3 linked regions of the Rhinolophus ferrumequinum genome follow. The protein of the gene in region 3 interacts with the protein of the main gene of each other region in a pairwise test. Links are inferred from orthologs where the notes say so. Each region holds a gene or a part of one and is shown on either strand. Other genes may lie near its edges.

Region 1 (7,855 bases), on a different chromosome or scaffold from region 3:
GGCTGCCTTGGGACCAGACAGCTCTCGAAGGCTCCTCCACCCCTGCCTCACCGCACCTCACCTAGCAGACCGCCTGCCTCCCCAGGCCTCCCGGGCAGATGGCTGAGCCATGATCTGCACAGGGCTCCTTTTTGCTCCAGAGTACCAGGGCAGGGACTGCTAGCAAGTGTATGGGGGCGCTGATTACCCACTACTAAGCCCCTTCGTGCCAGCTGGAGACGAACCTAAGAGTTTGGATCCGAAATGGCATCCATCCGAAGGCACCAAGATGGGGTGGTGCGCTCGGGAGTGGCCTTCCCTGGCAGGACTCGCCATTTCACCGCCCTCCTCTTTTTCATCCCTCCATTTGAATGGTGATCCACAAGTGCCCACCTTTCTCCAGAGCCATCACCCACCTACATGACCCCGCGGGGCCGCCTTTCACCCTCTCCTGCCCCTTGGGACCTAGTGCATCCTTTCGCCCTTTGTCCTCATCCCTGGACAGCTGCCCCCTCAGGACAAGGATGCCATGCAACCCCGATTCTCCCAACTCCGTGACCCCACCTAGGCCCCAGACAGAAGCAAGCATGAGTATGTAGACACCGCCCCTCTGGGGGCAGGCCCACAGGGGGCTAATTACAAGATTAAAGATTTCAAATGTGGGCCCAGCGTACTTGGTTTTCCCCTCGAAAATTATCAAAAGGCAGGGATGTGTTCAGAAACTACAGCCTCTCTGGGCTGGAAGGGACTATGGAAAGTACATATTACAACGCCCTCATCGTCCAGAGCTGGAGAAACTTTGCCCATGGGCATACTGAATCCAGGTGGCTGCCCTCTGGGTTAGAGGGTTTTGGGCCTCAGTGCTTTTCCACACACACCATCTCAGCAGTTGCAAACTTTCCTTATACATATAAATGGCTCTATTTTTTTTTCCGATAGACACAAACAAGTTTATCCTACAAAATTCCAAATCATTCTTTGAAGCAAGTTGTTTATGTAAATGGATATAGATGAACGCTTATTAAACTCAGCTACTGCTGGCTACATTTGAGCTATCTAGTTCTATCTGGAGCCAGCTATACCTACTTGGTGTTTCTAGATTCTAGATTCTTCAGAGTGTTAGAAAAGAATTAAGAATGGTAAGGGTAGTGCCCCTTGAACACACTGGCTGTGTTCCCCACATAACAGAGAACAGTTTACTGATGAGTAGTAAACTGTACTTGGTTAGACAGTACTCATTGCGGGCAATTGGGTTTAGACATCTGTTCAGCATCACCTCTATTTAACCTACTCAGGTTGTCCTCATTAGGGCTTTTCACTTAGAACACCGTTATAGCAATCATATACTGTATTTTTAGCATCTTACATAAACTACCCCACAAATACCCAAGTTATATAACCAGCCCCTTTTCCCCCCTCCCCCGGCTTTCCTCCAGCCTCTCATAGATTTACAGTAGGGGTGAAGAGGTGTGGGGGATCCCTGTCCAGTCACTGAAAACATTCACATCCCAGAGAATGGCCACTCCCCCCTCTGGACAGGGCTGGGTGCACATCAACAAAATGTGCTCCCTGATATCCTCCTCTTGTATTCCAGCCTTCACCTTCTGCTGTTACATTTTCATCAGGTGTCATGTTGCTGTGTTCCTGAGTCTGGGAGACTCTCTGCCTCCTCTCATTGTGTTCAAACAAACCCCTAGGGCTTGGATCCAGGGGCAGAAGCACCTGAGAGAGAGTTACAGTTCCCTCCTTTTACAGATGACAAACCACACTCAGAGATGGCCAAGGGACTTCCTCACAGACAAAGGCATAAACATGGTCAGTCCCAGGTCTCTGGATTCCTTCTTCAGTATGACTTCTATTAACTCAGCAGGTTCTCCAACCTCAGCGTTCTTATATACATATATCGCAGGAGGGGTATGAGCGGTGGTCTCTATAGCTCCTTCCATCTGTGCAATATGTGTGGATATGCTACTGGATAGGTACTGATTATATGACACTTTACTGTTTTCAATGCAGACGAGAATGTTGCCAACTGAAATTAATCAGGAAGAGGGCATAATTTTGCTTGGCTCTTGAAGCTTAAATTCAGGCTTTTTTAATGAAAAGAATGTGAAGGAACAAATGGTAAATTCACCCCCGTTAAAAAACAGGTTCAAATACTCATCTTCAGCTGACGGGTGTCCAAAGAAAGCACTATGCTACATTACTCTTTCATAGGAGTTTACCTAACTCTCTCAGGCAAAGTCTCCTTGTGGTGTGTGTGTAGGGGGGTGAGGAAGGGTGGGGGAGGGCAGGGCTATGCAGGCAATGATGGTGATAAGCATTTTCCAAATTAGGAAACAGATATGCTTTTCTTCTTACTCTCTTACATAACTGATCTATTTTAGAAGACAACACTAAAATTAAAACTGAAATGAAATACAAATCTCATGATTTTACTACTTTGTTAGAAAAGACCAAGCAAGTAATGCTGAAAGGAAAACAGAGGAGAGTTCTTCACCCCATTGCCCTCCTCCCAGCCTGGGGGCTCTTTCACAGAATTCTCTTTTCTCCCTGGCAGCCTCCCTGGGTGAGTCAGAGACCAAAGTCCAAATTTTAGAAAATGAACGAAGAGATACACTCATTTTTCTCTCCTCTGAATTTAAAAAGCAGTCGCATCAGAGTGCATATCCTCTTTTGGTGGCACAGGATGACTGTGAAGAGTGAACTGTCATAGAGCCAGTGATTGTTTTGCCCCAGACTTCCGGATTCAGAGGGAAATTGTGCAGTACACAAAGGCCACAGAGGCAGTACAGCCTCTTACATAAATAAGTTACATAAATGAGAACCAGTTATGTAAATGTATAAACCAGCAAACATGAATTATTACCATTCACAAACGCCAAGCAGAACACGGCAAGGTTCCTCCTACAGTCCCATTTTTTCCCTCTCCCATTATACTTGTACCATTTTATTTCACACCAGAATCAAATGTGGTTGTCACATTTACTAGGGAAAGAAACTCCAAAGGACAAATGAAACTTTATATTATTTTCTGAACCATACATGACAAAACCTGATTTAAACTGTATTTAATAAGATATGCATGTTCACCAATTTTTCATACTTCTGGTGTAATCATGAACATACTTACTGCTCAGTAATTTACTATTTACTATTGCACATTTTGCAAGCTGCTGTTAAGGACAGGAACGCATCGCAAACGTCAATGTCCACGTACCTAAGGATACCTGTTGTACCACTTATGGTTTCAAGTCTCAGTGAGTATGTGGGCATCTGACTGAAGTCATTCTGCTTATTGAAGGAAGGTAGTAATTTAGGGGGTTAGAATTAGGTTCAAGATTATGCTCATGAATTAATCCCAATATTCCCCACCTCAAATGACTAGAAGTTGCTCCTTGGGTCTTAGCTGTAATTTGCTCGGGGTTTGACGTGAGTGATAAACTTGTTTGCCTCTGCACACTGTTTGGAACAAAAGCCTCAGCTTTTCCTCAGTTAGCTTTTTCCTTGTTCCTTTTGGGACAATATATCTCCATCTCCTCCGAAGTTACACAATTTGCTCATTGTGTAGTAAAAACACATGTAACTCAAAGCACTTTTGAGCGCAATTACCTGTTCTGTATAAAGATGGATATTAAACGTTGGCCGATTTCAGACATAGCATGCTCAGGCTAACATTCCATCTAGCAGCTTATTTTGAAAATCTCATGTAAAATAGTATTTCTAAGCTCTAACATGGTAACATAATAGTAGAATCAGAGTTAGGTGATCTTAAAACCTCTGTATAATATTAGCAATGTGATTTTGGGCAAATAACTTGCCCTCTCTGGGCCATTGTTTCTAACCATTCAAAAAATAACTAAAAGTTCTAAGTCACTTTCCAGCATTAACAATCTAGAACCCTATAATCAGATCTGTAAATATTTCAACTGAGAGCTTTAAACTCACTGCCATAAAGTTTAAAGAAAATATAGAAACGGATCTTTTTTTGTCAGCAGAACTGCAGATTCTGCTTGGGTTCTAGTTATACGGTGATAACTATGTGAAAAGCATTCATCCTGGTGTTTACTCTTCAAAAACGCCAAATATGGGTCTTTGCTAGCTGTAGGGCAGTGAATGAGATGTGGAGGGTAGAACTGACACCTCGGGAACGTGTGGGCTCTCTCCCTTGAGGTGGGGGTGAGTTTTAAACAGCAAAGAAAACAGTAACTTGGCACCACGGAATACTGTCTTGCCCTCTGGAAGGAGTCACCTCAGGAACGTGGGTGGGGTTATATTATTTCTCAAGTTGATCGACTCTAGACCTGAGGAGTCACAAAGTCATCAGACTGACTTTACGCATTCCTAGGCCCTCTACGTGTCTATCTGTAACTTGGGCATAAACTAATGAAAATGCAGATTTGTACCTGACAACCCTGACACTACAGCCGGAGGCTCTCACAAAGGGCGCGGGTCCCAACTCGGGTGGGCGGGGATTTAGGGCTTAGTCCCACGAGGCCAGCCTCTTGGCAGAAGACCGCCGAGGAAGCAGGCATTAGGGGAGAAGCCGTGGCAGGTGGGGGGCTTTCGGCTGCGAAGGGAGGGCGATGAAGGTCTGGGCTCCTTCGGGCTTTGTTCAGTTACAAGCCAGGCCCTTCTTTCGGGGGAAGCCAATTAGATCCCCGCTGGTGGATCATCTGACCTCCTGTCCCTCGCCAGGAGGGGCTTCGGGAGGGGCGGGGCCAGCCAGTCGGCCCCCTGGGGACCCGGCCGGCGGCGGTGCGGGGGAGTCGCGGGTGCTCTAGCGGAGCCCGGCCCCACCCCGCGCACGCCAGGCCCCGCCCCCGGGGCTTCCCGGGCGCGCGCCGCCCCGCCGTGTCCGCGCGCCACGCCCCCCTGCTCGCGGGCCGCGTGCGGAACCGCGCGTCGGGGAGACTCCGGGACCGTGGCGGCGGGCGGCGGCGGCAGAGCAGCCCTCTGCGGGCCATGTCTTCTCCGGCCGTTGCGAGGAGCTCCCCCGGAGGGAGCCGGGAGATGGCCCCCAGGCCGCGGAGCCGAGGCCGGTTCTGGGAATTGGGCGGCGGCAGCGGGGACCGGCTGGAGCGCGCGGCCGCGGAGTCGGAGTGCTGGGAGCTGCTACTCCGCCGCGGCGAGCTGCTGGCTTTGGGCGGCCACCTGAAGGGAGCGCTGGAGGCGTACGCGGCGGCGCTGCGCCGAGGGGCCCCGGTCAGGCCCGAGTGCCTGGGCACCCTGGTGGACTGCCTGGTGCTCAACTACCGGCTCCGCCATGGGCTGGGCTGGAGCGCGACCCCGGCAGCGGGCGCGGACTCCGGCGCCGGTGGGCTGCTCAGCTGCCTGGGCTGCCGGGACTTTCTGAGCGAGCCGGTGACCGTGCCATGTGGCCACAGCTACTGCCGCCGCTGCCTGCGGAGAGAGCTCCGCTCCCGCTGCCGCCTCTGCCGGGACCGGCTGCCACCCGCCGTCACCGCTGCCACTGATGCTGAGGGCACCGCTCCGCGGTCCCCGCCTCTGGCCACCGCCATCGCCACCTCTGGCTTCAGAACCAGCGTCGTCCTCAACCACCTGGCCGAGAAGTGGTTCCCGGGCCAGCGGGAGCGAGCCCGGGCGACCGGCCGGGTCGCAGAGCTGCTGCACCAGGGGCGCTACCGGGAGGCCCTGGCCGCCGCCTGCGAGGCGCTGCGAGCAGGTGACTGCGCGGGGATGCGGCGCGAGCCCGGCCGACCCCACCCTCCTGTCGGGATGGGATAGCTACCCAAGCTCGTCTGTGCCCCCGGGAGGTGTCTCTGCTTCCCCAAGGCTGCCTGACTCCCTTGTGTCGGGTCTCGGGCTCCTCGAGAGTATGGGAGGGGGCGGCGCCCTGGGGTGCTTCGGTCACAATGGGGATCGCCGTCGGAGCCGACTGTGACGCGGCGCGGGGAGGGGCGCACAGGCGCGGGGTTCCCTCGGACGCGGCCTTGCGGTCTGGCGGGCGCCTCCTGAGCGGAGTGGGGGCGAGGGCGCCGGAGCGCGGGATGGGTGGGAGTTGGGCGAGCCGGAGCGGCCGCTCGCTTCCTGCCGCGCTCTTTCCGGTAATTGGCCGCTCCGCAAACGACAGCCGGGGCGGAGAGAGAGGATCCTAGGCGGGCAACGTTTACCTTTGTCTCCCACAAAAGTCACTGGGGCAATTTGGAAGCCGCGGGAGGGCAGAATTGCATAAGCTGTGTGTGTATGGGGGGGGGTGCGTTGTGTAACGGGTGACGTCCGGTGGGCGTGGCGGGAGCTCGGCGCCCGCACCCAGCACCCGGGGGCCCCGCTGGCCACTCGGCTCTGGGCGGGTGTCCGAGCTGCCCAGGGGTGTTCAAGCCTTCCCTGAAAATGCCTGCGGAATTGGTTCCTCTTGATAGTTTCAACCTGCCTATTTGAAATCATACTTATTTCATCAACATATATGTGCTTTGTTTCGAATACACCTAATTCACGGTCCAAGATAAAGAGGTAGTCTCATCGAGTTCTTTGCCACGCTTCTGTTTGCCTTTCCACTCTTGATCAAGTTGTGGGGATAGGCCTTTAGATCTTTTGTCTATTTCTTCACCTCGGAGAAGCAGCTTCGGCCACCTAACCTAGCTTAGCACTTTTCTTAAGGTGGTTTTAGGCTGTGGAAGGGGACATTTCAGACTTACCTATGTAAAATGAAGAATTGTTATTTAAATCGGTTGTTCTCTGCCTGGGGGAGTTTACCCCCCAGGGGACATTATCTGGAACTGTATCTGGAGACATTTTTCATTGCCACCCCTTGTGGGATTGGTGCTGGTACATCCAGTGGGTGGAGGCCAGGGATGCTGTTAAACGTCCTGAAATGCACAGGACTGCCTCCCACACAATCGCCAGGCCCCAAATGTCAACAGTGTCATTGTTAAACCTTGTGTTAAATCAGCGTATTTCAAGCTTAGCATCTATGATGACTTGAAGTAATACTTGGAAAATAATCCCCAAGAAAATAGAAATCTAAAATGTCACGGTTGCTAGCTCCCGGATTGTGAAAGAATTCAAGAGGCACAAAGGAATAGAAGTTACAAAGTTTATTTAAAAAGAGAAACACTGGCAGAGGAGTTGCCAGGGCCAGAGTGTGGAGTAGACCGCTGCCCTGAGTTTCTGTTTAGCTGGGATTTTATACTTTTCTAACCAGGATGTAATTTGCTTGGGCCTGTAGTGGAATCTTCTATTGTGTTCAGCATTGCCTTTTGCCTATTGGGGTGGGGGGAGGTGTGGTTAAACTTGTTATCACAGTCTTTGTTGTGTAAACTTAAGTTAGAGCACCCCCTTAGCCCCCCCCCAGTCAAAAGACTACCCCCTAGGCTGGTTTCTGTTTACCCATACCTGTCTTATAAAATAGAAATTGATGTTAGATATTAGGTAAATTTATAAGCTATGTAACTGAAAGTATTTTTTTTATGGTTCTTTTACTCTAAGTGCTTATTAGACCTTTTTGCTTAGAATATATCAAGTTATTTAACACCTTTAGAGCTCAAAGCATAAACTTGGCATGTTTTCATATTCTTTCACTATTTTTATGGGGATGTTAAACCCAGAACAAAAAAGAACTATTTGGAATACAAAATTCTGATACAGACAACTCTGTGGCTTTGGCTGAACAGATTTTAAGAGGGGTGGTACAGACCATCAAGGCCATGGTCCTTATTTTGAAAGTGAAGAAGCAGGATCTAGGGCAGTGAAATGACTTGTCCAGAGCCCACAGCTAACTGGTTGTAGAGGGAACACTGTATTTTCCTTCCAGTTCTAAATGTTGGAGTACTCATCCTGCCTTTATAGCTCATCCAATGAAAATTTTTAATATAAATTTCCAAGGAAGATTTTTTTTTTTGGCATTAGTATAAAA
Region 2 (7,837 bases), about 34 Mb from region 3:
CCCGTTGTTTGTTGCCTTCAAATTTCACTGTTCCACAGATCACAACGAGGACTGTAGTCTGGCTTGGGGTGGCTTCATCATGAACAGGTTGACAATCTACCACATTGATTTGGAACTCACTGGAAGGCAACATTTCAAAAAACTCACTCAAGGACTCTTGTCCCGAAACAGCATTTCCGTTCCACACCAGGGTGGCCGTGCCCATGTATAGGCGGGAGAGCAGACGCCGCCGCTTATCCATGGTGGTGTAGTAGACATTGACAAACTCCTCAGCAGCCCTGCAGGCCTGATCCACGTAGGTCTTGAAGTCCACTGATGCCATCTCTGGCTTTGCTGCAGGAGATCTCAGCCCAGGTGCTTCTGGCACCTGATGGAGCCGGGGCTGTGGGGCAGGAAGATTGAAGAGAACTCATGTGAATGCCAAACTTCGTTCTGCCCTGACAATGAAACACTCCTGCTCTTCTATCGGTGGCAAAACAATTACATACTGTAGAGAGATGACTCTAGGCTCAAATTGCTGCCAGCATCTATTCTTACTGAGCCTCATTTTGCTCATTTTAAAATGGGAATATTACCACTTGTTGCATAGTTGTAATGTGAGAATCAAATAAGACAATACATACCAACTGTATAGTTACAAAGCTGGATACCTACATGCTCAGAAAATGGTAGCTATTATTATGAATTTTAAACATCTTCTTTTATAAAATATAGTATTGGACTACGGAAAGCCACTTTTTCCTGAAAGCATGGAACAGGTGTGACTGTCCCTAGAGAAGTAGGGAACCAGTTTACCCTGGGTAAAGACAGTGGACCATGCTGAAGTGAACAGTGACCCAATAAAGGCCAATTAGATGGTGCATGCTAATCAGCTAGTGACAGTCTGGGAAAGCCTATCATGAGTTCACCCAATGGAGACTGGAAGGGCAAAAAAAGGGGAGGCTTCTTAAGATGGTAAGAGAACAAATGCCAAGAGGACAGAACCAAAATGGTGGCCATAATCCTTATCAGCTATAAGAAGCAAACCTGGAGGCTTACTGGGAATGAGAATGGAAAATACCTATTATCTGTGAGCACAAATACCCACCAGGTAAGTTCTGTGAGACATGATGGAAAGACAAGTTAGAATCGAAGAAATTCTATGGGGTGGTGGTGGGGCTGGTGGTGGCAAAAGAGCTTCAACTATAGCTGAAATGTAACATTTCTTAAAAAAAAAAATGTCCAAAAGCATAAAGAAATATCATTATTTGTTTTTTTTTCCAGGGTCTGGTTCACTGTTCTAGTTCTGTTCTTTTCTGCATGGTTAAAATATTTCACTAAACAAATTTAAAAAAAAAATCCAACAGAGGACAACATTACTAAAATAGTGGATATGTTTCGAATTACAAAATTAAATATTGATAAATTTTTTTCATTTCACAGACCGGAACTTTTTTTTTTAATATCAGTTTATGAAATACATAAAAGATTCCACACAGGACTGGGAAGGAGTCAGGTACTCTTAAGGGCTGAGAAAGGTGGAGCCCTCCGCCTCCTGTAAAGAACTGTAAGGAGTTGGGAGGGAGATTGGTTCTAGAAATGAGCAGTTCCAGAGCCAGGTACAGATGTTGGGTTTTCCACTCTCTCCATGGACCTAAAGTCAAGCCTCAACACTCTTGAGTTAGTACTTGCTAAGTGTTTTACATGCATTACTTCATTTAATGGTCACCACAAATGGATGGTGAGAGGGTATTACTATAAAAACAATTTTACTAATAAGAAAATTGAAACTTAGGTCTGGATCAAGGTCTTGACAGTAAGTACACTCCTGATTTATCATTTATAAGAACGTGTGCTGCCCCTGAAAATGTTGTCAAGACTATGTTGTTCTTTTACTTGCTTGTTTTTTAAGTTCCTGCATTTTTGATATCAAGTCTGTAACAGCACAGTTCCAGGATGGCTAGTTTGAAAATTCTCTTTCAGGGGCCCACATTTCTCTTTTGCTGGAATTCCCAACGACCCAAAGCCCACAGTATTTCTCACATTGACATTCCTCTCTTTCCACCATCTCAGTTCAATTTTGGAAACGCTCCATCTCCACCCGTTCCTGGCTCACGTTCTCCAGTTCTGCCAAAGCAGTCTGTCCAGATTAACCTGCTCCGCCCCCATACGCATTAAAATGACCACCGCCACTTCCTGTGGTTCGGTCACCCACGGAGCTTCCGGCTAGCCAGTCTGTATCAAATTAGAGAAAATAATGATCCTGATAAGTGGAAGAAGAGGCTGTGAAGCTCGCCGTCTTCAAAAGTCCCCACCGTCCAGTTCTTTGGAGCGGGACCAGAGAAGATGCATCAGGCCTCATTTCAGGTCAGGTGGTGAGTGGCTTTTAATCAAAAACGTAAAGTATACTCTCCCCGGCCATGTTCTGGCCCGGGACCTGCTCCAGCTCCAGTACATACTCTTAATCCCCAGGCGAATTTACTGCCTAGCTTTCGGCACATGTGATAGCCTGATACAGAACTGCAACGCCGCCACGTGGACAAGGACAAAACCGGCTTATTCCTGACAATGGAGGGAGGGCGTGGGGTACACACGTGGGTCTAGTGGATTCCTCGGCCTAATCTGTGGTCTTCAGAATGACTGAAGGGGGGGGGGGTCACGAACCTGCGCCGGTGAAGTCGAGGGTGAGTGGGGTGGCCTCGAGTCACGTGCGCGGCGACTTCGGCCAGCTGGGCGGCCCGGGGTCAGCGTGGGCGGTGGCGGCCTCGGTCAGCTGGGGTACCGCGGCCCCAGTCCGCTGTGCCCCACCCTGGCCGCAACTCCACCGAGGGCCGGCCCCGGAAGGTCGCCGGCGTGCTTGCCGCGGCCCTGCACTCTTCCGCCGTTCGCCTCAGGAGGAGCCAGGAAAAGCCGTCATCCGCCCCTCCTCTTCCTCCCGTGAGGCTCCTCCCCGGTGCCCGGCCCTCTGAGCCAGCAGCTTGACACCGGCCTCTGCGGGTTACCGCTTGCGGCTGTCGGTTCTTCGCTCATAAGCCAGCGCCCCCGACCCCGGCCACGCCCACCGCCTTGTGACGGGCAACTGTGCCAACCAGTGGGACGGCGGGCCCGGAGGCTAGCTCCGCCTAGGTGTGGCTCAGAGGAGGTGGCGATTTCCGGGAGGGGCGCTTTTTCAGAAGACCGCAGCATATCCGTGCTGGACTTTTCATTGGTTTAACCGGATCATAGAATCCGACCCAACTGGTCAGGTTGGGTCCCTGATTGGATGAAAACTCAAAAGTCCAATCGCCCGCGTTGAGCGTGGGTCGGCCCTTCTGCTACACGAGATCGCTTAGTGGGGGAGGATGGGGAATGTGTGCGGGTCACGCAGAGGTCCCTTCTCCCACGTCCTCTATTCACCAGTAGTTGGGGGTGATACTAATTAAAACACTAGAGAAACTTCACGACTTGATGCGATCACGGGAAACCAGCAGCGACAGTGACCAGACAGTGACCCAACTAAGGATTTTAATAGGAGATACCATGTGGAGAGTCAGGATGTCCCGTGAGGGAACCAGGAATATTAACCACCAAGATGATGAAGCTGGCAGAGTTTCTATTGAAGTCTACCTGATCAAGTACCTGATCTGATCCTAAAGGATACATAGAGGGAAATCAATTTTTGTTAAGTGGGAAACTTAACTACGTAAATGTGAGAAAGGAAAGAGTTGAGCGGGTGGATAAGGCTTGAAGTGACAAAAGTATGCCAATAGGGACACTTACCTTCGTGTGTCCTGTGAATTGGGCTAGGAAAACCTCCTGGCTCCAGCTGTGGCTCAGAGCTTGGTTGGTATTGTGATTCTTTCTGTTCTCCAGGCCTAAAACTAGCTGTATTTCAGCTAAGCTGGAATCTGGGCTGATTTTTTTTTTTTCCCACTGAATTTTTTTTTTTTTTTTTTTTTTTTTAAACAGGCTCAATAGAATAGAACCAATTAGCGTGGGACTTGGGAAACTTAAAGTTTACAGCATAAATTTAAAATTTTGGTTTCTTCGGACACAAGAATCTCAGGTCCATCGACTGGTCTGAGAGGCTGAATATTAATTCCTTGAAAATCTGTCAGAGCCTTTGGGATGGGGAGGTTTACTGATCTTTAGAGTGTATGTGCCTTCATCTCATACCTTATCTATTTATGACATACCTTTGCTTGCATTCCTAAGATAACTCTTGCTCTCTGGTTTCAGGACAAATTTAGAAACTGGGTGAGCTTTTTCATATAGGCAATCCCCCCCCAACACTTAAATCAAGAAGGTGAAAAATTTGGATTATAAAAAATTAAGTTGGAGGCTGCATAGAGAGGGTGAGCTAGCATCTATGGATAGTATTCACACTAAAATGTCTTCAGAAAGTCTGAGGCAGTGAAATTAGTATGTAATATACAAAAATCCACATCATAGCATCAATGGAATGAAAATGAGAGTTGACTTACTGCATGCCCACTAGGTTGGATATTGTGTTGCCTTAAGTTTCCTCATATTTCCCATGTAAGCTCTTTTTATTTTGTCAACAAAAGGTCCCCAGCCACCAGTCTAATGCCAACAAGAGTCTCCAATCAAGGGTCAATAAAAGGAGAGACTCCTCAGGTGAACAGTTTGCAAACCCAGGAAACACAGCATCCGGTGAAAAAGGAAAATGTGCTTGCTTCCCTCACCTCTCTCCCCCACAAACAAAGGAATTTTGGGAAAGATGCTTTTATAGAGAAAGTTCCTGCTTTGGTCCCTGATCAGTCCATTTCTATGTAAATGAGGAATCCAAATTTGCATAGTTTGATTGGTCCACATAGCACTGTCCTAATTGGTTGGAATCATGTGTCCTGATTGGTCATTATGGAGGTGCTCTAATTGTTTGGTAAAGATGTAAATGAGGCTACAGTGGCACAGTTCTGATTGAACAAGGCAGGTCTCAGTCCATTGGTTGAAATATGATTCCAGAAACTTCTTTACATGTAAAGGTACTTCTAAGTCAAAAATCCTTGTGGCTTAGCGGAGTGATTGTGGCAAGTGAGTTAACTTCCCTGAAGCTCAGCTGCCTCATCTGTAGAATGGGGATGGTAATAATATCCATCTCCTTGGGTTGACCTGAGGAGCTCATGAAACAATGTATAGTAAGTATTTAGCGCAGGGTCAGAGCACAAAGTAAGCATCCAGGAAAAGTTAGTTTGCTTCGACATTTTGCATCAACTGCAACTTCCTTATTTGCCAACAATTCCTTCAACAACTGGCTTTTAAATTTCGGATGAGCATAATGACAAATTGGTAGGATTTGTCACCAAATCACATGGGCACCTTCTGGAAATGAGCCTGGCTTAAGCAGCAGTGAAGCAAGTGGCTCCATTTGCTGTGTGGAGTCAATCCAAGGAAGAAGACCACATATAGTCATGCACACCAAGCCTTTGGCAGCTCTGAAGACAGGTGAATTTTGGATCTTCAAGTCTAAACACAGCATTAAGCTTTTCCTCATTTTCAATATAGTTTTTTGGTGCAGGATCTATCAGCATCTGTTTGCCACGAGAGGCTGTGGCAAACACTTGCAACTGTTTCTATTTTTTGTTTTTGTTTTGCTGTTACCTCTATAATTCTGAATAATAAGCTTGTAATTCAATTGCTTGATTCATCAACTTGAGACAGTCTCCAATGACTTCATTACAAGGAAGGCTCATTCACAAGATATATGTTTAGCCAATTTCATTATGTTGCAGTGGTTACTTTGTAGCTTTAAAAAAGCTATTACTCCTCTGCTTCCTATTCTATCAATGATAGAGGATATCATTTTTCTGCTCTCTTGTATGAAAATAGCAGTTCTCTGAACTATCTCTTCCTAAGTCCCATCTTTGTACACAGTCAGGGAGTTGCTGTCAACTCTGTACTTGTAATGTCACACATGGCCACCCAGCCTGAAACCCATGCTTCCTCGTTTCTCTCACAACTAGCTGTGTCAGGTATATGACTTTTTCGGTTGATAAGATGTACTTTGCAGTGTGGGATTTTCTAAAAGTAAGGAGACTGGGCCATCTTTCCCTTTTTCTCCATTCTACTACCCCAAATGCAGATGTGATAGCTGGTGCTTTGGCTGCCCTTTTGAACCAGGCAGATGTGGGCTAGATCCTAGGGACGGACTTGGTTCCATTGTGATTTCATGGAGCTGCCGCAAGAGCTCTGGATTGTTTACACATAGACATCTTTTATGTGACTTTTTTTACATCATTTCGAGTTTATTTGTTAGATGCCATCAAATCTAATTCTAACTAATATAGTCAGGAATATCTTTGTATTTACAATGTCAAGGCTGACTACATTTACTTTCCATTCTACAACTGATTATATCTCCTATCCTTTGTCTAGATTTGTCTAGATGATTGCAGGTGGTGGGGAGAGAGATAATAAAGATAAATCTAGACTCCTTACTTTTATAATTCTGTACATAGTGATTCCACTAGATTCAATGGGAAATACAGAATGAAGGGTGATTAGGGGGAGAGATGGGTGCAGTTCTGAAATGCTGTGCTGGGGGCGGCAGTATGGGTATTTAAGCGGAGATGACCATTTGGTATTGGGGCTGGAGCATGGGTGATATTCAGCCTGAAGGTGTAGATTTGGGAATTTGATTGCAGGTGGAAATCAAAGCCATAGGCATGGCTGACCTGGTTGACCTTGTTTCATGGTACAGGTACAATGAAAAGTAAAAGGCCCAATTGTGCTTGCCATAGAAGAAACTCAATATACAGTAGCCATCATTATGACCTCACATCACATTGCATGTTTTTCTGAGGGTCGGTCTCTTGTGCTGTTTGCATCAGCCAATATACTAGTTGTATCTTCTGTATCTGCTGAATATTAGAGTTTATTATACTTTTAATAGGAGGGAAAAGTGGAAATGGAAATCACATGGAAAAATAGAGCTATTTTCAGAGTAAATTGAGCTCAGAAAGGATTGCAGGGCTGCGATGAATCAGAGCTTACACAGTCACTTGGGGACACTGATTTAAGTACCTGAGAGTACAAACGTGGATGATTCATGTAGGAAAATCAGTAACGAGAGTTCAGGGGACATTTGGAAGGACTTATGCGGCAGAGGCTTTAGTTGCAGTTCCAGAAAAGGGCAGCAATAGATTGGGACCTTTCCCTCCTTCCAGACTCCTCACACCCCAGGAAGAACTTGAGCCTGAAACCACTTGAGAGATGGGATGAAGTTTTGGTCCCATTGCTATAGCAACCGAGGGGCCCACCTCAGATCTGAGTGGTTGCAAAAGGAACCTGGCAAGGAGTATGGGCGACCCTGGTTGGAGGCACCTCCTTAGCTCCCAGCCCTCGCAGTTCTGCAGTGCTTTGTAGATATCCATTGAGCACATTTTCTGAAGCAGTTCTCTGCAGGCCCAACATCCAAAGTTTTCATTAAGAAACCAGTAAAGCAAACATGCAGGGAAAAGCGAACAGGTTACACTATGTTCGGACTGAGTTTGAGTTGTTCCAAGATTTGTTCCTGAGAAGCTGCAAGCCCAAAGAACACACCAGGTGGCTGAGTGCAGGACATAGATTTATTGAGACTTACAGACTCAGGTGGTGGCTAGCGGGAGGGGTAGTGCTCTGCGCTTAGGCAGATAAGAAACGAGGTTATATAGGTTTAGTGAAACAAAGAGCATTCCATAAGGAAAACCATCTGACAGGCCCTGCTGGCCTGCTCGCAGGCACACAGCATCCCAAGAGGCAGGAGATCTTGATTGTCTGCTAGCTTATGTGACTGTGAGCTAGGTCCCTATACACCAGGACACTTGCACTTCAGCAAATGTGTGAGTGCAGTGGGCTGTCCTACCGGAAGAGTCCGAAG
Region 3 (7,817 bases):
GGCTGCTTGCTCTGTTTTGGAAGGAAAGGCTTCAATTCAGCCTGTGAAAATGTCAATGAAAACAAGGAGATAACAGCAACCCTTGCAGGGAGGCATATGAGTAAAATCTATCTGCCTGTCTTCTCCTGGGAGTTGTCCTCTTCTCTGGGTGGGTTCTAAGAGGGAAGGAGGCTTAAGCTGTCCTTCAGGGTTAGTTCTAAGGCATATGGGACAAGTCTGGAGATATTCTGTCAATCTGCTAGTATGTTCGGTCCTATGAAATGCCACTCAGTGATTTCAGTGAGTGCTTGAGCTCCAAGGTGGGTGGTATGATGGAAGTGATAGAGACGCTTCCATTGGGAGGCTCGTGGGATGAACAGATTCAGGGCTGGATCTATGAGCCAGCCCTGGGGGTTGGATGTATAACCCTTCTTCCTAGCCTTAAGGGCTTCCTGTGGTGTGTAATTAGATTGAAAAGTAAAGCCCATTGGAAGGAGGGGAAGGACCTTAATATCGTGTTTCCCTGAAGATAAGACCCAGCCGGACCATCAGCTCTAAAGCATCTTTTGGAGCAAAAATTAATATAAGACCTGGTCTTATTTTACTATAATATAAGAAGACGCATTAGAGCTGATGGTCCAGCTAGGTCTTATTTTCGGGGAAACACGGTAGTAGAGAGGGCATCCTGCTTGGCTGTTTGGTCTGCAAAATTGTTGCCATGGGAGATCTCATCTGTCTTGGATTGATGTCCCCTGCCAGTGAATGATGGCTACTCTGACAGAGGACTTAACTGCTTCAAATAACTGGAGGATCTTGGCCCCGAGTTTAGTGGGGCTGTTCTGGGCTGGAAGGAAACCCTTTTTTAGCCAGATTGCTGCGTGAGCGTGGAGGATATAGTGGGCATACTACAGTCAGTACAGATTCCAACTCGGAGGTCTTTGGCTAGAAGGTGTGCTCTGGTTAGAGTGATGAGCTGGGCTTCTGGGCTGATGTGGAAATGGGACGGGGCCTGCCTCAATTACCTCTGATCTGGAGACAATGGTGTAACCAGACTTCTGCTGCTCCCGATTAATGAAACTACACCCGTCTGTGAACCAGATGGCATCAGGGTTCGGGAACGGGGTGTCCTCTAGGTCTTCCCAGGCAGAATGGGAGAGGTTTAGGGCCGTTAAGCATCTGAGCTCCTCCTGGGTGGATGGATCCGGTAGAAGGGTGGGGGTGGGGGTGGGAGTGGAAGTAGCGTATTGCAGGGTTTTATAGTGAAGTCCAGGGAGTCAAGCCGAAGGGTTTGGAACTGTTTGACAGCCAGTGAGGGGCCTTAGCATGGAGGATGTTTATTACTTGGTGAGGAGTGTAAATGGTCAGAGACTGGTTAAAAGTAAATGTTAAGGCTTCCTTTAAAAGTAAAGCTAAGGCAGCTAGAATTCCTAAACAGGGAGGCCAGACTTTTGCTACCCGATCTAGGTTCTTTGATAGGTAGCCCACTGGGCGTGGAACTGCTCTTAAGGTCTGAATAAGGAGTCCTAAAGCAATCCCTCTCCTCTCTGAGATGTAAAGGGAGAAAGGCTCGGAGAGGTTGGGGAGAGCTACGGCTGGGGCCTCAGGAAGAACCTTCTGGACAGAACGGAACACCCGCTCTAATTCCACATTCCAGTCTACATAAAGGCTCATGATCTGGACCTTTTAAAGCCGTGTACACAGGTTTGGCTGTGCCTCCGCACTGGGAATCCAGATCTGGCAATACCCTACCCAGCCATACCAAGGAAGGTCCTTAATTGTCTCTTGGTGTTGAGAGGCTGCATGGAAGTAACGAGTTCTACTCTTAAGGTGCTCAGTTGTCATTGCCCCGGTGAGAGTACAGACCCCAGGGATGTAACCTGTTGTTGTGAAATCTGGGCTTTGGAGGCTGATACTGTATATCTCTGCCTAGTGAGGAAATTTAGCGTCTCGATAGCATGTTGCTCTGAGCTTTGTTTATTGGGACTGCCGATTAGAAGATCATCCACATATTGGAGAATGGTGGCTTCAGGGAGGCACAGGTCTCTTAAGCCCCCGGCTAAAGCTAATCCAAAAATGTGTGGACTGTTGCAGAAGCCCTGTGGTAAGACAGTCCAGGTGTATTGTTGGCAGACCTGCATGTGAGGTAAAAGCACCTGTCCAGGTAAAAGCAAAAAGAAATTGGGACCGGGGATCTAAAGGAATACAAAAGAAAGCATCCTTTAGACGGGGGTATCCAAGCTGCGGCCCACAGGCCAACTGCGGCTCGCAATCCATTGTTAATTGGCCCACAGCAAATTCCAAAAATATATTTAGTTTACTTCACTAAACCAGGTGAGGCAATACGTACTTCACCTCGAGTGCGTGGCCCGGCTGTTTGTGTATTTTACCGCATATGGCCCTAGGTGAAAACTGTTGAAAAAAGTTTGGACACCCCTGCTTTAGATGTAGGACAGGAAACCATTCCGTTTTGGGTGGTATTAGTCCCAGAGGGTATATGGATTTGGACAAGGGAGTGTATTGGGATTACTGCCTTATTGATAATGCAGAGGTCTTGGACTAGCCGATACTGACCAGATGGTTTCTTGACTGCTAAAATGGGAATGTTGCAAGGTGAATCGCAGAGGATTAAAATGCGGTACCTGAGGAATTAATTAATTGTTGGTTGAAGCCCAAGTTAGGCCTCCTTGTTGATAGCATACAAGGGAAAGTTGTGGGGACTTTCAGCTTAATCTGGACTGGGGTGATGTGGGATGCCTTCCCCTGGGATCTCTTGATTCCAAACTGCAGGATTGACTAGATTATTAACCTGAGGAGGGATAGAAAGGAGGATGGACTCTCCCACTTGACTAGGAAGTAACAGCCTGCAGAGAGGCCAGTAGAGAAGGCTTAGGTGTTAAGTGGAGGCTAGTTTGTAACTTCTGCTAGTTTGTAACTTGTAATATCCTGCCCTAGTAAGGGAATCAGGCACTGTAGCATTACTAAAAAGCAATGGGTAAATATGAGGGACCCGAGGCAGCTTGAGAGTGAGAAAGTACACCTGTAGGTTGTCGGGTTTCCCTCAGTGCCTGTAAGGAGAAGAGCTGAAGGAAGTGTAGGGCCAGTGTTGGATAAGAGCAGAGAAAGCGGCTTCCGTATTGATTCGAAAGGTAATATTTGTACCGGCTACATCAAGTGTTACCCTGGGTTCAGCCTCAGTGATATTGAGGAGGGAAGTCTGGATGATCCCCAGGGCCCATCATGCGAGTGGGTCAGAGTTGTCTGGTTCATTGTTGACGATGACCATTGGCAGGAGCCGATTGGAGGAGGTGCCCTTTTGGCCAGCATGGAATCTGGGTGGCTGCCTTCCTTGAGAGGAAAGGGGACATTCCCTCTTCCTGTGTCCTTCCTTTTTGCAAAGGGGACAAGGGCCAGAATCCGCCTTCCTGGCCTGGTGTGGGCAATCTTTATTCCTGTGCCCTTCTCAACAGCAGGTGTAGCAGATGTCTGGGCCGGTCTTCAGGGGTCTCCCTCTATGAGAGCCTGAACCCGGGTAAGGCTGCATAGGAAGTGCGCTGGCACGGGCAGCAGCTATTAATTGAGCCCTTCTGTGATCCTTCTCCTCGGTTTCCTAACCCTAGACTCCCTTTCAGCTTCATCTCGGTTGTTAAAGACGTTAAAGACCGTGTCCAATAGACTAGGAAGCTGAGGGAAAGGGGTCTGAGGTCCTAATTAAAATTTCTGGAGTTTTCTCCCGATGTCTGGAGCTGATTGTTCAATGAAATACATGGCTAGTATTGTGGCTCCATGGATCTAGGTTGGTATATTTTCTGAGGGCATCCACCAGGCAGGATTGAAAAAGGGCCAGATTCTCATTCCCGCCTTGAGTAATACTCTGTAGTTTACACGCTTATTTATACCTTTTTTCATCCCCTCAATTAGGTGACCATATGATCTCTCTGAAGCCTGTCTTGAGCTTGGAACTGGTAATCCAAATGATTACCAGCACGGTGATTTGGGACCGCCTCTGCCCCAACCGAATGTTGGTCTGGTTGGCGCGCTGCTAACTCATCTGCATATCACTGGGCTAAAGCCCAGATACAGTTCTTTTCTTCCACGATACAACAAGTGGTAAAAATAGTATGTATATCTTGCCAGGTAAGATCATATAAGATGGCTGCTAAAACCCGCTTCATTTATCTAGAGCTGGAAGAAATAGCAATCTGGCACTTCTTGCCTTTTAAGTCACTCTAAAAGTTACTTATTTTATTTTTGTGTGTGTTACCTAAGAACGTGAGCTCTATGAGGGCAGGGATTTTTGTCTCTTTACCACCATATTTTTAGCTCTTGGAGCAGGGCTTTGCACAGAGCAAGCGTTTAATAAACATTTACGGATGGAGGAATTGAGGGAAAGAGAAAAATGAGGAACCGAGGCGGGAGAAGGACGGAGAGGAAAACCGGAAGAACGAATGGGGAGTGAGGAAAGAAGAGAGGCCCAGTCCCGCTTCCCGCGGACGGGTCACACCTCCCAGCTGAACTACAACTCCCAGCAGGTCCCGGCGCCCAGGGCGGGCTAGGCGGCTCTAGAGAGACCAGGTCCCAGCCCACTAAGTTCCCGGCGTGCCTTGCGAGCGCAGGCGCCCGCCGGGACTTGTGGTCCGGGCCGCGGGCGGGGGGTGGGGCCGGGCATGGAGGCGGGCGGGGGCTGGGGGCGGGCAGAGGCCCCTCCCCCGTCACTTCCTGCGGGGCTGCGGGCGCCGGAGCGGCTCTTCAGGGTTTGCGCCCGCGGCGGCCGTGTCAGGTTCGGCTCCCCGCTTCCTCTGATCCCCGGCCCGGCGGCGCCCGCCTTCTCCGCGGCCACTCCGTCTCTTCCCTCCTGCCGTCCCTTCTCTTCCCTTCTTCCTTCCTCCTTCCCCTCCTCGCCGCCGACACCGCCGTCGCCGCCGCCGCCGCCCAGGACCGCCGGCCGGGGGACGAGCGCCGGGGAACAGCCAGGTGAGGCGGCCAGGCCCGGCCTGGCGGCGCCCGCGCGGGCGCCGCGGCCGCGGGGAGGTGGGCGGCGGGTGGGGCCTAGGCCTCGGCGGGCCCGCGCGCCGGGCCTCCTTCCCCGGGCCTCCCGCTCCGCCCGCGGGGCCTTCCCGGAGGAGGCGGGTCCTCCCGCGCCCCCCGCGTCGGGGCGCCCCGCGGCCTGGACCCCAGGCGCTCCCAGCCCTTCCACCTCTTATTGGGGCCAGAAACAGGTGCCACGCCGCCTTTCCTCATTCCTCCGGGCGCGCCGGGATGCCGAAGTTATTCCCGGGGCGGAGGCGGAGGGTCCCCGCTTCAAGTCCTTGAGACCCGGAGCACCTAAATCCCCCCAAGCAGGTCTGTAGCATAGTAGTTAGCGCACCACCCAGGTGTTCAACGCGGGTACAAATCCAGCTTCGTCCCCGTAGGCCAGTCACCTAAACTCTTTGTTGTGTTGGTTGGAAAAAGGGGCTAAGGCTGTCCCTGCCTCTTAAGGCTGTTAAGGTTCAGTGAATTGGGGCGTGTAAAGCGCTTATCAGAGTGCCAGACCCACAGCGTGTCCCAATAAACCGTCTGCATAATTTATTAGCGTGATATTAAGGTATAACTTAGTGGGTAGAGTGGACATAGGTTGACCTACCTCCCCGTTTGAGTTTCCGTAGAGGCAGAAATGTTCAGCGTGCCTACCGCCAGCGCCGGCTTATTGTTTTGGGTTGTTAATATCTGAAAGGGGTGTACGTTTAATTGGGACACTCTGTAAGTAGGCAGTCTGTGACAGATAGATGCTGTTCTTTCCATCTCCTCCGCTGATCCACCTGCAAGATTTTCACCAGCTCTCTCCGTGTGAGCAACCTGTCCATTTTTTTCTGCCATCATCCGGCTTCTTGTTGTCATTCCATTTCTGGGAAAGTTGCTGGCAGAAGCTTTCCTTGAGTTCAGCAAACCCTTCTGGAGCGCTTGCTGTGTGCCAGGCTCTGGAGGGGGGTGTACGAAGCTGGAAAATGTGTGTCCTTTCTTGCCTGCATCTCTAACTTCTAACTTTTTTTTCACTGCAGCTGTGCTTTTATTCCCTCCGTCCCTGTTGGCTGACTTTCCTTTTAAGCCCTTGCCCCACCTCCGTGTCGCAGTATTGCTTATGTGGAAGTTTTCTTCTGCTCGGCGAAGATGTGTGCTTCAGTCTGTTCTGCCTCTGTTCTCTGGCTGTGGGGACGTTTTTAAGGTCACTCTTCCCTTCTGCTTGTAGCTTTAATTGTTTAGAGGGTGGTGGAAAGAGAGTTAAACCAGATTCTTGGTTGTTTTTGGGTTTTCAAGAATCGGTGTGCTTACCAAATGTAAACTACTTTGCTGCTTGTTGAAATAAAAACTACAAATACAGTTGGATTGTAGAGCGAGCAGTTTCGGTCATCCTGGTGACAGGTAGGATTTATAAAACAGCAACTTTATTTAAGGATGCAGAGTTTCTTTTAATTCTGTACTTAGTTCTGTAGGTGTACCCTTCATTAAGAAAATATAACTCATGGTGGTTCAGATTTACAGAAAAGTAAGGAGTGTCTTTGCTCTACTGAATGATCCTCCTGTACGTTGGATTATTTTAGGTAATACATTTCCTCACTGAACTTTAACTGTTTTGATTTACCACCATCTCAATAACACTCGTGATGCAAACTGGTCTCCCTGTTACTGACATTTTCCTAGAATTTTCTGACACATAGTCTTACCATCGTTTCTAGTTTAAAATCTTTGGATGACTCTTTAAAAACACGTAAGCAAACAACTAAACAAGCAACAGAAGACAAAGCATGTCTTTTGCCATATGGAAAATTGTAGTGTTAAGGAAATGATGTTTTAATACTGTAGTAGATAACCTAATTAAAAAAACCTTTTTATTATGGAAAACATACAAAAATCGAATAGTATAGAGAATCCCCATGTATTGGTCACTCAGCTTTGATAAATATTAACTCATAGCTAGGGTCAGTTTTTCTTTCATGTAGTACTGCCTCCCCCAAACTGGGTTTTGAAACAAATCTGAAACATCATATAATTTTACCAGATTTTTCCAGACTGTTAATCTGTCACAAAATTTACTTGTAGTAGAATCACAGTTCTCATTTTGTTTGTTGGGCTTCTCATCATCTCTTTTGACATGGTTACTATACAGTAGAAAAAACAAACAAACAAAAAACCAGCCGAATTATTATAGCTCTTGATTCAGTGTTTACCCCCCTCAAAGTCATATCCAAAGTACTTCCTGACTTCTTTGTGTGCAGAAGCAACGTTCTTGAGCTATTAATGTCTATAATGGAAAAGCAATCAGAAATACAGATCCCTAATCCTGTTTTGGTGGAGGTCTACCTGTTAAAACCACTTTTAATGCAGAATAACTTTATGGCAAAGTTAAACAACAGTTAATAATTCATAATAAAACTTTGAAAGTTTCTTTACGTCCTTGTGTAAATATGCTGCTGTCACCTTAGGTTAAGAATTAAGCAAAGGATATTTGATTTCAAAACTCTGTTGTAGACTTATTTTCCAAAGATCCCACCTCCCCATCTGCTATATTTACAAATATTTACTAAGTGTGAATGAATTCACAGCATAGATATTCATGTTTTTCTTTCTTGTCCAAAAAGAGATCTCTCCTAGAATGGAAGTTGACAGGAATATATTATTTGTCTTACTGCTTAATTTTCACATTTCTGGTCATGAACAGTTTCTAGCTTTTAGACCTGTAACATTGTTATTTCAGTTATGCAGGCTTATTTTTGAGCTTGATCAGTTACAGTGAAAATGTATGTTATGTTTTAGTTATTACAGCCTGGGAGATGGGGAGGGATATGCATACCTCTTAATAT

Evidence for each region. The genes of interacting proteins can lie anywhere in the genome.
Region 1: the proteins of STAU1 (region 3) and LONRF1 interact in binary tests that used the Homo sapiens proteins (3 or more experiments, as listed by UniProt). The two-hybrid records come from large-scale screens. The link is inferred for Rhinolophus ferrumequinum from reciprocal best matches to the Homo sapiens genes STAU1 and LONRF1.
Region 2: the proteins of STAU1 (region 3) and NXT1 interact in binary tests that used the Homo sapiens proteins (3 or more experiments, as listed by UniProt). The two-hybrid records come from large-scale screens. The link is inferred for Rhinolophus ferrumequinum from reciprocal best matches to the Homo sapiens genes STAU1 and NXT1.

What each region holds. Positions count from the first base shown.
Region 1 is NC_046287.1:69,225,504-69,233,358, reverse strand, and holds the start of LONRF1 (LON peptidase N-terminal domain and RING finger protein 1), read left to right. Parts: upstream 1-4,841; 5' UTR 4,842-4,944; coding exon 4,945-5,665; intron 5,666-7,855.
Region 2 is NC_046306.1:43,765,978-43,773,814, reverse strand, and holds the start of NXT1 (NTF2-related export protein 1), read right to left. Parts: upstream 3,015-7,837; 5' UTR 2,644-3,014; intron 383-2,643; 5' UTR 323-382; coding exon 1-322.
Region 3 is NC_046306.1:10,051,463-10,059,279, forward strand, and holds the start of STAU1 (double-stranded RNA-binding protein Staufen homolog 1), read left to right. Parts: upstream 1-4,815; 5' UTR 4,816-4,950; intron 4,951-7,817. UniProt on the Homo sapiens protein: Binds double-stranded RNA (regardless of the sequence) and tubulin.